2 linked regions of the Elephas maximus indicus genome follow. The protein of the gene in region 1 purifies or fractionates together with the protein of each later gene. This does not show direct contact. Links are inferred from orthologs where the notes say so. Each region holds a gene or a part of one and is shown in the gene's direction. Other genes may lie near its edges.

Evidence for each region. The genes of interacting proteins can lie anywhere in the genome.
Region 2: the proteins of POLR1C (region 1) and POLR3K purify together in Homo sapiens (affinity purification with mass spectrometry; 4 studies listed by BioGRID and IntAct, counting the BioPlex papers as one, with this or other methods). This does not show direct contact. The link is inferred for Elephas maximus indicus from reciprocal best matches to the Homo sapiens genes POLR1C and POLR3K.

The regions. Positions count from the first base shown.
Region 1 is NC_064819.1:107,947,470-107,955,094, forward strand, and holds the start of POLR1C (DNA-directed RNA polymerases I and III subunit RPAC1), read left to right. Parts: upstream 1-4,533; 5' UTR 4,534-4,698; coding exon 4,699-4,767; intron 4,768-4,865; coding exon 4,866-4,937; intron 4,938-6,182; exon of another isoform or gene 6,183-6,532; coding exon 6,533-6,640; exon of another isoform or gene 6,641-6,865; coding exon 6,866-7,001; exon of another isoform or gene 7,002-7,286; coding exon 7,287-7,406; exon of another isoform or gene 7,407-7,503; coding exon 7,504-7,625. Other genes in the region: protein YIPF3, read right to left, coding at 339-487, 619-742, 939-1,052, 1,260-1,391, 1,536-1,628, 1,765-1,810, 3,171-3,277, 3,474-3,671 and 1 more. UniProt on the Homo sapiens protein: DNA-dependent RNA polymerase catalyzes the transcription of DNA into RNA using the four ribonucleoside triphosphates as substrates.
Region 2 is NC_064830.1:57,373,852-57,381,168, reverse strand, and holds the start of POLR3K (DNA-directed RNA polymerase III subunit RPC10), read left to right. Parts: upstream 1-4,297; 5' UTR 4,298-4,392; coding exon 4,393-4,503; intron 4,504-6,584; coding exon 6,585-6,672; intron 6,673-7,317. Other genes in the region: RHBDF1 (inactive rhomboid protein 1), read left to right, coding at 1-68, 133-233, 335-488, 651-980, 2,902-3,042; SNRNP25 (U11/U12 small nuclear ribonucleoprotein 25 kDa protein), read right to left, coding at 2,107-2,164, 2,581-2,655, 3,143-3,248, 3,392-3,482, 3,906-3,947. UniProt on the Homo sapiens protein: Core component of RNA polymerase III (Pol III) which synthesizes small non-coding RNAs using the four ribonucleoside triphosphates as substrates. Can mediate Pol I proofreading of the nascent RNA transcript.

The DNA.
Region 1 (7,625 bases):
TGCAGTTCCAGACTTCAATCAGTATTTTAATTACCAAGTCTATATTTAGCAAGACAATGTGGGAGAAAGAAAACGGAAGGAAGGGGTAGGTGGTGAGGGGCCTCAGAGGAGCTGACCCACTTTCTGCACTGGCTGCAGAGCCTGCAGTCCTGGCCAGGAGTTCCCAGCCTTGTGCCCTATCACAAGCCCTGGCAGGCAGCAAGGAGGTGCTTAAGCAGCTACAGCTCTGTGGCAGCTGGAGACCCCATCAAAGAGACACATGCCATCAGTATTGTCCTTTAATCTTCCTCTGCTCTGCAGCCAGGGGGAAGGGGCCCGGCCAGGGATTTCAGGTGAGGTCAGTGTGACTGCAGGGTCACCGCAACAGCCTTGGCTGTGGCGTTGAGCATGGCGGCAGGAAGTCTAGCAGCAGGGAGCACAACAGGGATGTCTCTGGGGACTCTCTGCATGGGCGGGATGTTGGGGCCCTCCAGTGTGTCCAGAATCCCTGAAAGAAGGGTGATGGAAGATAAGCAGGAGTTGGCTGGGACCAGCCCACAGGCTATCTCATCCAGCCCCCCAACCCTGGCAGCTGTTTGCACCCACAGCCACCCCTACCCTGGCCCTCCCGTCACTTACCCTCTACCACCTTGTGGTAGGCAAAATGCAGATAGAGCAGGAAGAGCATGTGCAGGGCAGCCAGGGTGCCACAAAGGAGTAGTCGCTGCGTGGGGCCCACAGTCCGTGACACCAACACTGCCACCTAGGCCCACAGGAAGACAGCTCAGAGGCCTGGATCCAGCGAGGGATGGGGAGAAGACACCCTACCCAAGGCAGAACCATCTTGGACTTTTCCAGCCCATTCAGAACCCTTCATGGGGTTCTACCTCAGCTCTAGGCTGTTCTTCCCAAATCCCTGAGAGAACAGCCCACTCCTGAAAACCCCATTCCCAGCTTACCATGCGCAGGGTGGACAGCCCACCCACCAGCAGCCAGAATAGGTAGAAGAGGGCATGAAGGTGGATGTTGTAGGTGATGAATAGGACAATACAGTGCCCAAAGAGGCCATAGCCCTAGGAAGGAGGATGGTGGAAAGGAAAATCACTCAGGCTGGGCTGGTCTCTGGCCTTCATGGGGACCCTGGGTAATAAAGGGTCCAGTGGCCAGTTCTTCCCATTCCAGGCCCTGGGTGGGGTCCTGTGGAACCAGGACACATGCAGACCAAGGCCTGACTACTCTCTTAAGATTACCCTTGCCCACCACCATGCCTGGCTCCTTACCAGCAGTGCCAGCATCTGGAGCATGGTGATCTGAGCATTGCACAGGTAGGCGAGGAAGTAAATGAAGGACGACACGCCCAGCCAGTAGCCGAAGCAGGTACCAATGGCTGTGCCCATCAGGGTGCCCTCCCGCTGTGGGGCGAAGGCTCTGCTTAGCCCTGAAAGGCCTCTGAGGGCCTTCCTCAAGGACTGCTCCTTCACTTCACTTTACCATCCTCTCCTTGGGCAGCTTCCAACCCAGTTAAGCCACCCCCCAATGTCCTCTGTTTTGCTTACGATAATGGTGTCAGATGTCTTCATCCCATGGAGGAGGATGGCAACCAGCGTGAAGACCAGCATGAGAGGTCCATACAGCTCACCTGCAATTTTCTGTCAATATACCAACTCATTCAGCATGAAGGGTACCATGGCTTTTCTGTTCATGCCTCCCCAGGCTTTGCCTGGTGGCCCCACCCTCTGCCCTGGTGCCTCCCCTCGCTCTCCAGACATGCCACCCACTATTCACCTGTGGGAAGTTGACCATCTTGATAGGGATCATGGACTCCAGGAGCCTGAGAGAGAGGAGAGATAAGAGCAGAGGTAGCACTAAGCTGTGAGGTTTTGGAGGTCAAGGCATGAGTCTTACTCATCTCTCTAATCCCAGGGTAAAGGAAACTCGCCCAGGGGACATGCTAGATGATTCAGGGAGAACAGGGCAGTAAAGAGACAGGGGATGGGGAAATGACTTCCTTCCCCCTAGAAATACTTCCAGGGAGAACATTCCTCTGACACTGTGCTGACTGAAGCAGCACCAATACAGAATTCAGAGACTCTAGCTGGGTCCTGGGGGAAGACCTGACGATGAACCTATTTGACCTGCTCCTCTTTAAAAAACAAGCAAACCTCAGCAGAGCATAATACCCAGCATTCAGGGTTGTGATGGTGAGGCCCTGGGCAAGATTCAGAAGGTGTCCCTAAGGGAAACAGTGCCCCCTGCCTCTTCCTGCTTACCATTCCTCTAGGCACCACTGGGTATTTTCTTGAAAAATCTATCTGAAGTGCTATGAAAATTCCAGACAGAAAAAATAAAAGTACAAGTCATGTCCCCGCTTTCTTCTTAAGTGACCAGCTCCTAATAATACCTTTGATTTTGGCTAAATTTTACCTCCTCTGGGATACCTGGCCTGTCCCATTCCCCAGCCCACCCTGGGTCAGGAGTTCTTCCTGTGTGTCTCCACCATAGCATAAGAGTGCTGTCTTGTAACTGCACACCAGGGCAAGGCTCCCATCTGTCTTCACCACTGAATCAGACACAACAAGAATAGTACTGTACTTAATAAAGAAGTATGATCAATAAATATTTAAGTGGTACTATTTTTTGACAAACATTAGTTAAACTAAGGAACAAAGAACCAAGCCAAGATTAAATCTGTTTCTTGAACAGTCATTCAGCAACTATGCACTGACACTCTGGTTCAGGCTGTTCTGGTGCCGGGAAAAAAAGATAAACAAGAGTCTGCTCTCAAAGAGCTGTTGGTCTGCGGAGACAGACCCAGGAATGAGAAAGTACAGCAGTGCTGAAGTGTTATCTACTAGAGAAAAACAGAGTTCTATAATTTTTTTTTTTTATAGGAACATTGGGAGAGGACAAATGGGGGATGGAAATGAGGAATGGTGAACAAAGAAGTGACATTTGAGTTAGGTTTTGAGGGAAAATGAATCTGCTCATGGAGAAGTGAAGGAAGCCAATGTGTTTAGCGCCATGTCGTGTTCAGTGGGTGGTGAGAGTTATGGTGTGTCTGGGGTACAAGGTGCGATGAGGGGTGGTGGGGTCATGAAGAGCGGGGGTCCTGAGGGCTTGATATCTGGTTGTTGGCTGGATGAAGGACTAGGTGTTAGGAGGGCAGTTTCTGTCAGGAGAAGGATCCTCACCTGCTTCGCACCTGGGCAGGCTCCACATCAAAGTAGGGTCTTAAGATGTCAATGTTGGCGTACAAGCTGAAGGCCCTGGAGGCTTGTCTCTTTCCCGCCTGCCACATCTGAAGCAAGGAAGATGGGGGTGGGAGGTTGGGTATTGTGAGCCTCTTGGCTCTGGGGACTGTTCCCTATTTTTCTGTTGGATTTCTACATGGTTCTAACTGGATAACTTGGAGTGAGCTTCACCAACACCAACTCCAGAACCTGGGACCTGCCTAGATATACTTTTCCCCATGCCAGGGATCCAGCCTTGCTTACCTGATCAGCCACCTGCCTGCTCAGCTGTCCCTTAAAGCCCTTCATGCCCAGGAACTCCCCATCCTCTTCTTCAGCAGCAGCTGCATCAGCGTCTACTTCTTCCTCACGCAGGCGCTGATGCAGCTCACCCATATCCTCAAAGCTGGAACCTGAGGTATCATCCATGTTCTCCATGTCAATCACAGCTGAGCCCCCACCCTGTGAAAACAATGGCTCCTGGAGTGCTGGAATTTTCTGATCCGTCGGTTAAGTACTCCTCTGCTCACCCTAGGGTTTGAGTTTTGTTCTTCCACTGCTGGGGTATGGGTGGGAATCACCAAAGATCCTGCCAATCTCTTCCCACTCATCTGCTCTCAGAACCTTTGGATCCTGGCTTTTGCCCTCTTTTCGAGCCTGGGAAACCTGTCTTCCACTCATGTATTTCTCCTATCTTCCCTATCAAACTATCAAAGGGCAGCAAAAGCACCCATTTCCTTTGTCTTTCACAAGGCGAAGGCATGTCTGTGCACAGTGTTTTCAGCCAGTGCCAGTTATTACCCCTTCCCCCGTCATGCCTGACCCCGGCCAACCTCCCAACTTGCCCCTAAAGCAAAAGCACGCTCTTTCTAACGCCTCGGGAAGGCCCAGAGACCTGTGGCCCTCCAGCCGGAGTATCTGGCCTTTCAGGTCAGCACTAACCCCACCGACTTGGTTTGCACTGAGACCCAAAACAGTGAAGAACTGTTGCAACTAGAGCAGACGGTACGGAGGTTAGGGACGGACTTCTAGGCCCCGAGAAAGTTCCCAAGACACTTCAGGACGGTCGCCAGCCTTGGGGGCAGCCGGAGCCTTGGGGCCATTACCTGGATGTTTTCTTCAAATCCTCCCCACTCCGGGCCAGCCCCGTTTCGGGCGCCGCCGGCCGGCGCCGCCGCAGCTGCCATGTCCCTCGAGGGCTCCCGTCGCTGAAGCCCGCGCTACCCCGCGCGCGGAGAAGTGGGCGAGACGTGGGCCTGAGGGAGGGAGATGTCCACGGGCAAGAAGGAGAGATGGAATCAGCCGGAACCCAAAAACGAAAAACCCGGATGTTTGGCTCAAACTGACTTCCGGAAGTTTGGGACGTGGGAGGAGGCGGGGCAAACCCTCGCGATACTTAAGCCTCCAGGCGAGCGTTCGTTGCCGAGGAGACGGTAGGACTAGCTCGCGCTCGCCAGTTTGACGCTCTAGCCACGTGGGTCGGTTGAAGATGGCGGCGGCCCAGGCAGTGGAAGAAATGCGGGACCGCGTGGTTCTTGGGGAGTTCGGGGTTCGCAATGTAAGTCTTGTGGTCTTGAACTCCGGAGAGAGAAGGAGAGCGAAACAGGAATGAGTTGGAGTCGGAGTGGCGACAGACTCGTCTCTCTTGCTCTTTAGGTTCATACCACCGACTTCCCCGGTAACTATTCCGGTTATGACGATGCCTGGGACCAGGAGCGCTTCGAGAAGGTGAAGGAGGAGTTGGAGGATTGGAAGTACTGGGAGGGGAAGCGATTAGGGTAGGGTAAGGTGGGTACGGACGGAGGTGTCTGGAGAGGGTGTGTGTGGCCGGACCTTGTGATCTGAACAGCCTGTGCCTCAGAAGCTGCCCTTAAGGCTACCTTTATTCATCAGACGTTTATTGAGCCCCGTTCCCATCCCAGCGATGTGCTAGGCGCTTGCGTGTAGTAGGCCGAATTAGACACAGTTTCTGCCCTGTTCTGTGATTCTTGTTGGGGAATCATTTCGCGTAAACAAATGATTCCTGTCTAACTTTGTAAGGCGGTTGATAGCAATATAGACACAGGGTGTGCATGGGGGCGGGGGGAGGGTTAGGAAAATTTCCTGAAGGAGATAACATCTAAATTGGGCCTTGAACAAGTTGTGAACAGCTAAGTGTGAAGGAACTAAGAATATGAACTAAATTATAAAGGCGTGAGGTGTACTCCTGGAATGTTCAAACAGTTCAGTATTGCTAGAATGTAAAATGGACCAGCAGGAGTGGTAGGCAAGATTGGAATTCGTTGTAGGCACTGTAGGTGACAGGTAACTTTTGAAGAGTTTTTAAGCAGACTTGGTAAGATTCATAACCCTGATGGCTGGGAGAGAATGAACTAAGATTATGATTGCAGAAATTGAACAAAGAGGGGAATAGAGGGTCAAAGTGGTGATTGATTTGATGTGGGCTGTGAGGGGCAAGGGAACCCTGGTAGTGTAGTGGTTAAGTGCTGGGGCTGCTAACAGTTCGAATCCACCAGGCGCTCCTTGGATACTCTATGGGGCAGTTCTACTCTGTCCTATAGGGTTGCTGTGAGTCGGAATTGACTCATGACAGCAGTGGGTTTGGTGTTTTTTTGTTTGTGAGGACCAAGTGTAAAATAACCTGGCTTAGGGAACTTTGATGGATGGTGATGTTATTGTTTGATAAGGAGGAATAGATCTGAGGAAGAGGAATGACGATGTATTCAATTTTCTGCAGGCAGAGCAGTCTAGCAGGCTAGTAGAACATGTTTGAAATGAGATCAGAAATGATACATAATTTTTGGAGTTGTGAGTGTACAGATGAGTTGCTAAAATTGTGTGGTTGAGGTCACCCAAGTGAGAGACAGGAACTTGGGAAGTAGTAATATTTAGGGGATGGGTGGAAAAATAGTGAATTTAGAAAAAATCGTAAGATAACTAGAAGATTGGTGCTCAGAAACCAAGGGACTAGTAGAATTTTAAAAAGGAAGGATTTTATTAAAAAATTCCACATGTAGTAGAGGATTCCAGCAAGGTAAGGACTGAGTAGTATTACTTGCCCTAAGTAATATGGAAGCTTCTGTTCTTTAATAGAACGGCCTCCGTGAGATGGTTTGGCTGGAGGCAGATTACAGAGGTTTTGAATGAACGGAAGACAAAAACAGAGAAACTTTTCAACTATGAAAGGATTGGGGGAGAAAGGGACATCTGGGCATGGAGGAGGTTTTTGGATTTTAGAGGATGTTAAAAAAAACATTAAGGGAAATATCTAGGGAGGGGGGAGCATAGAGACCAGGCCTCAGTGTTTTTTCCTGTCCCTCCAGAATTTCCGTGTGGATGTGGTACACATGGATGAAAACTCATTGGAGTTCGACATGGTGGGAATTGATGCAGCCATCGCCAATGCTTTTCGACGCATTCTATTAGCTGAGGTATCAATGGATGTAGCGGCAAGGTTGTATGGGGAAGCTTGCTGAGGATCTCAAAGTGACCCTCCCACCCTTGTTTTTCCTGCAAATTTGCTGAGCATTCCTTCTGGTCATTCTTCTTATCTCTTTATCAAGCATTTTTCTAGGAAGAGCTCTCCCTGTCACAGGGTGGGAGTGAAGAGCCTACTGGGTCTTTGCAGATGGGTGATTGGTGATTGTTTCCTTGAGCAGGTGCCAACCATGGCTGTGGAAAAGGTTCTGGTGTACAACAACACATCCATAGTCCAGGATGAGATCCTTGCTCACCGGCTGGGACTCATTCCCATTCATGCAGATCCTCGTCTTTTTGAGTATCGGAATCAAGGTAAGGGTTTGGGAAAATAAAATTTTGGGAAAAGGAGGGCAGCTTTCCTCTAAAGTAAGATTCTGGAGTCAGACTGCCTGAGTTCAAAACCTGCATTTGATCTTGGAAAAGTTAATCTTTTAGTACATCAGTGTTTTCCACCTGTGAAATGAAGATAATACCTGTTTCATGAGTTTGTCGAGAGGATTAAATGAAAAGTGTATGTAAAGCCCTCAGCATAGTGCCTGACACTCAAATGGTCACTAGTTTTCTAAGAGTTAATCTCTTTCTCTTGCATTTACGCAGAAGATGAAGAAGGCACAGAGATAGACACTCTGCAGTTTCGGCTACAAGTCAGGTGCACTCGGAACCCCCACGCTTCTAAAGATTCCTCTGATCCCAGTGAACTCTATGTGAACCACAAAGGTGAGCGGTGGTAATGTGCGGAAGAGAGCCTGCCTGTTGCGGGTACGAGGAGTATGGCTTTAGGGGCTGAAGTCTTCTGACATGCTTCATTCTCTAGTGTACACCAGGCACATGACATGGGTGCCCCTGGGGAACCAGGCTGATGTCTTCCCAGAGGGCACTATCCGGCCAGTGCACGACGACATTCTTATTGCTCAGCTGCGGCCCGGCCAGGAGATT
Region 2 (7,317 bases), on another chromosome or scaffold:
TCACCTCCCGGGAGTACTGTGACTTCATGAGGGGCTACTTTCACGAGGAGGCCACACTTTGCTCTCAGGTAGGTCTTGGGGCAGAGGGTGATCCCCCCCGCCACCGTGGGTGCTAATGGCCACTCTGTGCAGGTGCACTGCATGGATGATGTGTGCGGGCTCCTGCCCTTCCTCAACCCTGAGGTGCCCGACCAGTTCTACCGCCTGTGGTTGTCCCTCTTCTTGCACGCAGGGCAAGTGACACACTGGGCATGGTGGGGTGTGCTGGGGAGTGGCCAGGCTGGGATGGCAGGCTCCCACCGTCCTGAGTATCCCCTCCCCTCCCCCACCTCAGGATCCTGCACTGCCTGGTGTCCGTCTGCTTCCAGATGACCATCCTGCGGGACTTGGAGAAGCTTGCCGGTTGGCACCGCATCTCCATCATCTACCTGCTGAGTGGCATCACTGGCAACCTGGCCAGTGCCATCTTCTTGCCTTACCGTGCAGAGGTGAGGTGTCCCTCGGGTGGGTACACTCATGCACATCTGTCCACGTCCAGCACTGGATCAGGTCCCTCTGTTTGGCCCTTGGTTCTGATTGGTTCCAGGCCAGGGAGGTGGGGCAAGAGGAAGTGAGACCTGGGTCAGCTCCGGTGCCTCGAACCCCCACAGGTGGGCCCGGCTGGGTCGCAGTTTGGCATTCTGGCCTGCCTCTTTGTGGAGCTGTTCCAGAGCTGGCAGATCCTGGCGAGTCCGTGGCGTGCTTTCTTCAAGCTGCTGGCTGTGGTACTCTTCCTCTTCACCTTTGGGCTGCTGCCTTGGATCGACAACTTTGCCCACATCTCTGGCTTTGTCAGTGGCCTCTTCCTCTCCTTTGCCTTCCTGCCATACATCAGCTTTGGCAAGTTTGACCTGTACCGCAAGCGCTGCCAGATCATCATCTTCCAGGCCGTGTTCCTGGGGTTGCTCGGCAGCCTGGTGGTCCTCTTCTACTTCTACCCTGTACGTTGTGAGTGGTGTGAGTTCCTCACCTGTATCCCCTTCACTGACAAGTTCTGTGAGAAGTACGAGCTAGATACGCAGCTGCACTGAGCTAGGCCCGAGGGGTGGGGGCTGCAGCCATGCTCCAGCAGGCCTGGAGCCCGGTGCCAAGCCTGCCTCTGCCCTTGCTGGCTGGCCAGATCATGTTTCTGAACACAGACCTCTGTGCCTTGTTCACTTCTGTTGAACCTCTCATGTCACCATGTTTGTTACACTAATGCCCATAATCACCTTCTAACTAGTCTCTTTTGACAACCACCTCACGCGGCCAGTAAACGAATGGGAGCGTTTTAGCTGCCGTTACCTTAATCCTAGCTGCCTCCTCCTTCTGGGATCCGATCGTGTGGCTGTGGAGGGAGGTCCTTCAGCCGGGTGGATGCACGGTGCCCTTCCTTTGGTGACTGGTAGGTGATGGTGGGGTGGGGTGCCCCAATGATGCCCTTGCCCTCAGCCCTGCTGGAGAGCCCCCATGCTTGGTCCAGCCAACAGCTGTAGTTTCAGTCCCATGCTCCCTCCTTTTCACCCAGTGAGCCCCAAGGGGCCTCTGGTCCAGCCCATATCTGTGTTACACACATTCTACCCTGGTCCCACAAACAGAAACAAAGACAGCTGCTCTGCTTGTCCCCCTTGCTGTACAGATCACGGCATGAGCAGTTTGCCATCTGGGGAACCATGCAGCCACAGGGCACAGGTGGTCACCCTGGACCTCAGGGCCCATGTGTTCCAACCCTGCTCCCTTTCTCCACCTCCCTATGGGGCAGCATTTGTACCTCCTGGCGGGGGTACTCTGGCTTTTTGACTTTCAAACTAAAAAGCAAACATTTATTTTGTATATGAGGCTGTCCTGTGGGATCCACATGTAGTCAGGTTTGGGCCTCAGGAGGGCTTCAGATCAAGTAAATGGAAGAGAAATGAGGACCTGACAGTCATGGAGCTCACATTGTTGGTTCCAGATGGGGGAGGAAGGAGGAGGCAGAGCACAACTGGGGTGAGGCTGCAACCTGCCTTTCTGTGAAGGAGACAGTGGCCAAGGGTAATGTCCTGAGGAGAAGAGTTTGTCCCCCACACCTCTGTCCTTGCTGGAGGCTCACTTTTGTCTCAGCTTTTTGATAAAGGAGACCTCATCCCGATTCCGGATGCCGTAACTGAAAGAGAAAGAAAGGTCGGATGTGTCTGATGGGCAGAAAGATACACCAGTGACTCCTACCTGGGGCCTGTGAAAAAGAAGGGAAAGAAAGGGGAGAAGAGGGGGTGGTGCCAGGGAGAAGGAGGCAGAGCGAGGAAGCGGCTCATGCTGTTCAGTGGGTGGCCCTTCCCCTCTACATGCTTACATTTCCCTCCATCTGACCTGTGCACATCCACAGGACCCTGATGTTCTCACAGTGGTGAGAGCCAGCCAGGACTGCTGTAGCCAACTCCTCTGCCTGCCCTTTTAGTGGGGATGGCTGAGATCCGGCACATAGGTGTTTTTGGGAAGCCCCTTCCTTTACGAGAGTACAGGGACTAGAGGCAGACAAGGACCAGACACCCCTCAGCAGCTCAAGATGTGGCCAGGACTTACTCTCGGAGCTTCTTCCTGTCTTCTGTGAGCTTTTCTCCCACAAAGGTCAGATAATAGGTCCTCCACACGTAGGACCTGCAAGAGGGAGACTCAGGAAACAAGGAGTTCTCTTCCTGCATGATGTGCACACCAGGCCTGAAGGAGCTACAAGGGGCACTGGTCCCAAAGGGCTGCATAGGGGTCGAACACCCTTGGCAGAAATGCACTGGTGCAGAGTAGGGGAGAGAGAGAGAGAGAGAGAGAGAGAGGGAGGGAGGGAGGGAGAGAGGGAGGGAGGGAGGGAGGGGTGGGCCCTGACCGAGCAGTGCTGTCTGTAACCAGGGAGACCATTTCATGTCACACTGGAAATGCCTAAAGGTGCCCCCAAGTGAAGAGTCAAGCAGCGGAGGCGGGACAACACAGATGAGCATGTTTAGAAAGGAGGCAGTGGCAGGAATCCATGGAAGACCTGTCTCTGCCTGAAAGAGCTCGAGACAGGGCACTCACCCCTCAGTCATGGCAGAGGACCAGAGAGCACAGGTCCAGCACGTGTGCATGCTGGCTTGGGAATTGCTCCACTCACCAGCTGATGTGCTGAATACCCCCTTCACGCTCCTGCCGCAGCTGCACATATCTTTGGATGGCCTTCTTCAGGTCCAGGACTGTGGCGTTCTGCACGACGACCACAGCTGCAGCCAGGGATACAAATGGGAGAAGACCTCAGGTCAGTGGGTACCACAGGCCAACCTCGGGGCAGGGCAGGTTCGTGGTGGCCTTGATGTCTCTGGCAGCCCTGAGAAAGCACAGTGGCAGGGAGGAGGGCATCACTTACGCATGACCTCTCCGTCCATCTTGCACACACAGACAGTCATGGCCTGGCCATACTCCAGTGCTATCTGGGAGTTGACCTCTTCCAAAGTAACCTGGAAAAGACAAAAGTGGGGTGCTCTTCTCATCATCCCAAATGACAATGAACAAAACAAGTTGACAGAGGCCAAAAAGGGGTGTCCATATTTTACGACAAGCAAGTAGAGGAAAGGATCCTTGCTTATATTAGGGCTCGCAGTTCTTCAGCACCCCGATCTCGAATTTCACCCATACTTTTCAAGTTTAAGGATCAAAGTGGACAGAGGCTCCAGTAAAAGAAGGGCACAGAAACAGGGTCGCTATGAGTCGGAACCGACTCGACGGCACCTAACAACAACAGAAATAGGCAGGAAAATGCGCCCTCCGAGGACCAGCCCTGTGCTTCCTCCAGCTCAGGGGCTGCAATATCCACACGACCTCGGGGTCCGCTCCCCGCCGCTCCTGCCCCGGCCTCGCTGGGAAAGACCCCGGCTGCGCACCTGGATCGGCAGATCGCAGAGCAGGGGGTCCTGCACCACCATGGCGAGACCCTCCTGGAACACGTCCACCACCTCCGAGTGCGGGAGCGCCTCGTCGTCGTCCTCGTCGACCTCCGACGCCTCGGGACGCGCCTCAGCCTCAGCCCCCTCCAGGGCTGCGTCCGCCGTGGGTCTCTCGCCCCGGCCAGTCGGCGAGAGGAAGACGAATTGCGTGCACAAAAGGACTGTGGACCGCAGAGCAAGCCTGGACAGCCATTGGTGCGCTTGGGGGCGGGGCGGGCCACCTTGACCAATGAGAAGTGCAAGACCGTCTGCTGCTGGGCACGCTGGGAGCGCGAGGCCAGCGTGCCTATTGGTGGCCTGAGGAGTGCCTTGCCTGGGCCAATGAGAGCTCGAGGCCGGGCGAGCGCCGGCGCCCAGCGGACGCGGAGGTTGCCGGGAATCAGGATGCTGCAGGGGCTGGCGGAATCGGGCTGATTCGCCGGCTATGCTGCTTTTCTGCCCGGGCTGCGGAAACGGGCTGATTGTGGAGGAGGGGCAGCGCTGCCACCGCTTCGCTTGCAATACCTGCCCTTACGTGCACAACATCACCCGCAAGGTGGGTCCCACCCTCACCCGCTATCCGCTCATGCCCATGTCGGCTCTGCCTTTGAGACGATCGGAGCCAGCCTCTAATCCCGTAGAACAGTCCCGGGGTTATCGCAGAAAAATGCTGGCTAGGCTCCCTGCGCAGTGTGCTCTTCACTGAGCCGAGTCAAGTCCCAGCAGTCCGTGCTCAGAAACCTCCAGTGGTTCCCGGCCGGCTGGGAGTAAAAGCAGTTCTTACAGGGCACCCCCAGGCTCTAGCCCTGACCCCGCCCGCCTGCTTCTCGGATTTCGCCTCCTCACGTCCTTCTCCCTCTCGCTCTTTTTCCCTAACAGCACCGGCCACTGCGGTATCTCCCGTCATGCTCCGGCGCTGCTACCTGCAGGGCCTTTGCATAGGTTCTTCAGCTGGGCGCACTTTTGCTCTGGATCCACGTGACTTGGTGGTCCCGTCTTTACTTAAATGATTACACTAAAGTTACAGCCCTCTCAATTTTATTCTCCTACCCGGTTTTATTTTTTCCATGGGACACGTACCTTCTAATATACTTTATAATTTACTCATGTGCTTTGTTTATTAATACTAAAACATAAGCTGCAGGAGTGCAGGGAGTTTTTCTCTGTTCTGTCCCTTTCTGTATCCTAGTCTGAATGCCTGGAATGGAACCTGCATTAGAATGGGTGTTTAGTAAAAGAAGGCTGCATACTGTACTATAGGAGCCCTGGTGGCACAGTGGTTAGGCGCTAGGCTGCTAACCCAAACGTTGGCGGTTTAAACCCACCAGCTGCCTCTCGGAGAGAAAGATGTCGCAGTCTATTTCCGAAAAGATTTACAGCCTTGGAAATCCTATGGGGCAGTTCTCTGTCCTAGAGGGTCTCTCTGAGTTGGAATTGATTCTGTGGCAATGGGTTTGGTTTTGGGTATACTGTATTATAAGTGGACAATATTTTAGTATTTTTCCATTGATAATACATCTTGAGGAGCCCTGGTCGTGCAGTGTTTAAGAGCTATGGCTGCTAACCAAAAGGTCGGCAGTTCAAATCCACCAGCTGCTCCCTGGGAAACTCTATGGGCAGTTCTACTGTGTTGTATAGGATTGCTGTGAGTGAGAATCAGTGCAACAGCATTGGGTTTAATACATCTGGAACACTATACTTTTCAGAAGTAGAGTATGTTTGTGCTGCCTCAGTTTTGTTATTTGCATACACTCTAGTGTATAACTGTGTTGTGGGAGTTTAGAGTCCCAAAAGACGGGAAGAGCGAACCCTTATGTAACCCTGAAAGTTTCAGGGATGTCTGATAAAAGAAGCCAACTGTAAGCTGCTTTGAAACCTCTCTCTACCTGGGTGGGGGGTGTCTGGGCTACCCAGCTAAGTGGTATTCTTTGGTTTCCATTTTATACGTTTCTCTCATATTGGATTATCATGTGCCCTGGAGAGGTGGGAGAGAAGGAGGGCCACACCTAACCCATTTTTCTTCCTCTGATCATCCCAGGGAAACCCTGGTGGCATAGTGGTTAAGTGCTACAGCTGCTAACCAAAAGGTCGGCAGTTTGAACCTGCCAGGCGCTCCTTCGAAACTCTATGGCACAGTTCCACTCTGTCCTATAGGGTCGCTATGAGTCGGAATTGACTCGACGGAAATGGGTTTTTTTTTTTTTTTGGTAATCCTCCCAGAGATCTGTGACTGCTCAAACTACCCCTCTCCTCTTGGTGGGCAACCTGTTCACCAGAAAACCAAACCCACTGCCGTTGAGTCGATTCCGACTCATAGTGACCCTATAGAACAGAGTAGAACTGCGCCATAGAGTTTCCAAGGAGCACCTGGCGGGTTCAAACCGCCGACCTCTTGGTTAGTAGCCAGCAGCCATAGCGCTTAACAACTATACAACCAGGGTTTCCAACCTGGTCACAGGTTCTCTATATTCACAGCCCTGGCCTGTGAGAGCAGGAACTTTGTTGTTATTTACTGTTCCTCCACTGCTTGTTGGAGGAAGCAAGTCTGGGAAGACACCTGAGGACTGTTCTGGTTTGGTGGCCCAGGGTTTGTACCAATCACTTCCTTGGAGAGTCTGAAGACTTTTTGTTTGTTAGGTGACAAATCGGAAGTATCCCAAGCTGAAAGAAGTAGATGATGTACTTGGGGGAGCAGCTGCCTGGGAGAATGTCGACTCCACTGCAGGTGAGGGGAGCTCTTTTCATTACAAAGCTGTAGAGAATTACAAGGCTGCCCGCTGCATCTCCATGTCAGAGTCTGTAACGGTGTACTTCTCATGGGGCTTCTAAAAGTAGAAGTCATACTGTGTGCTTTCTTCTTTAAAAATTTATTCGTAAGACACATAATATTGGTATAACCCTTGGAGTCATACAGACTGGGTTAGATTCTTGGTGACTTTTTGTCATGGGGCCTTGGTGAGCCCCTTGGCCTCTCTGGGGCTGATACATGCTCATGGGCTGTGCAAAGATTAAGTGAGTTTTACAGCGCTTGAGTTCAGGAAGCACTCAGCAGATGGTAGCTGGGGTCACAGTGGCAATAAAAATCAGAGTATAAGGAGAAAATATGGTCTTTTTGTTTGAATGTTTAAATGTTTAATCACTCCTTGCCGAGAGAGATAGCTGTGACCAGGGAAGGAAAGAGGAGAGCCCCAGATCTAACCTGTATGGAGAGGGGGAAGTGCTAACTCAAGGTTAGCACTCCTTTTTCTGTCCTATAGAGAGGAACATCCAAATTCGCTAGGTTAAAGATTAACATCTGCAGAATCTGCTGTGGAAAGATGAAATGTGTGCTCAGTGTTGGGAATGTTCTTTTTAGAGGGCTGTCAGTTTC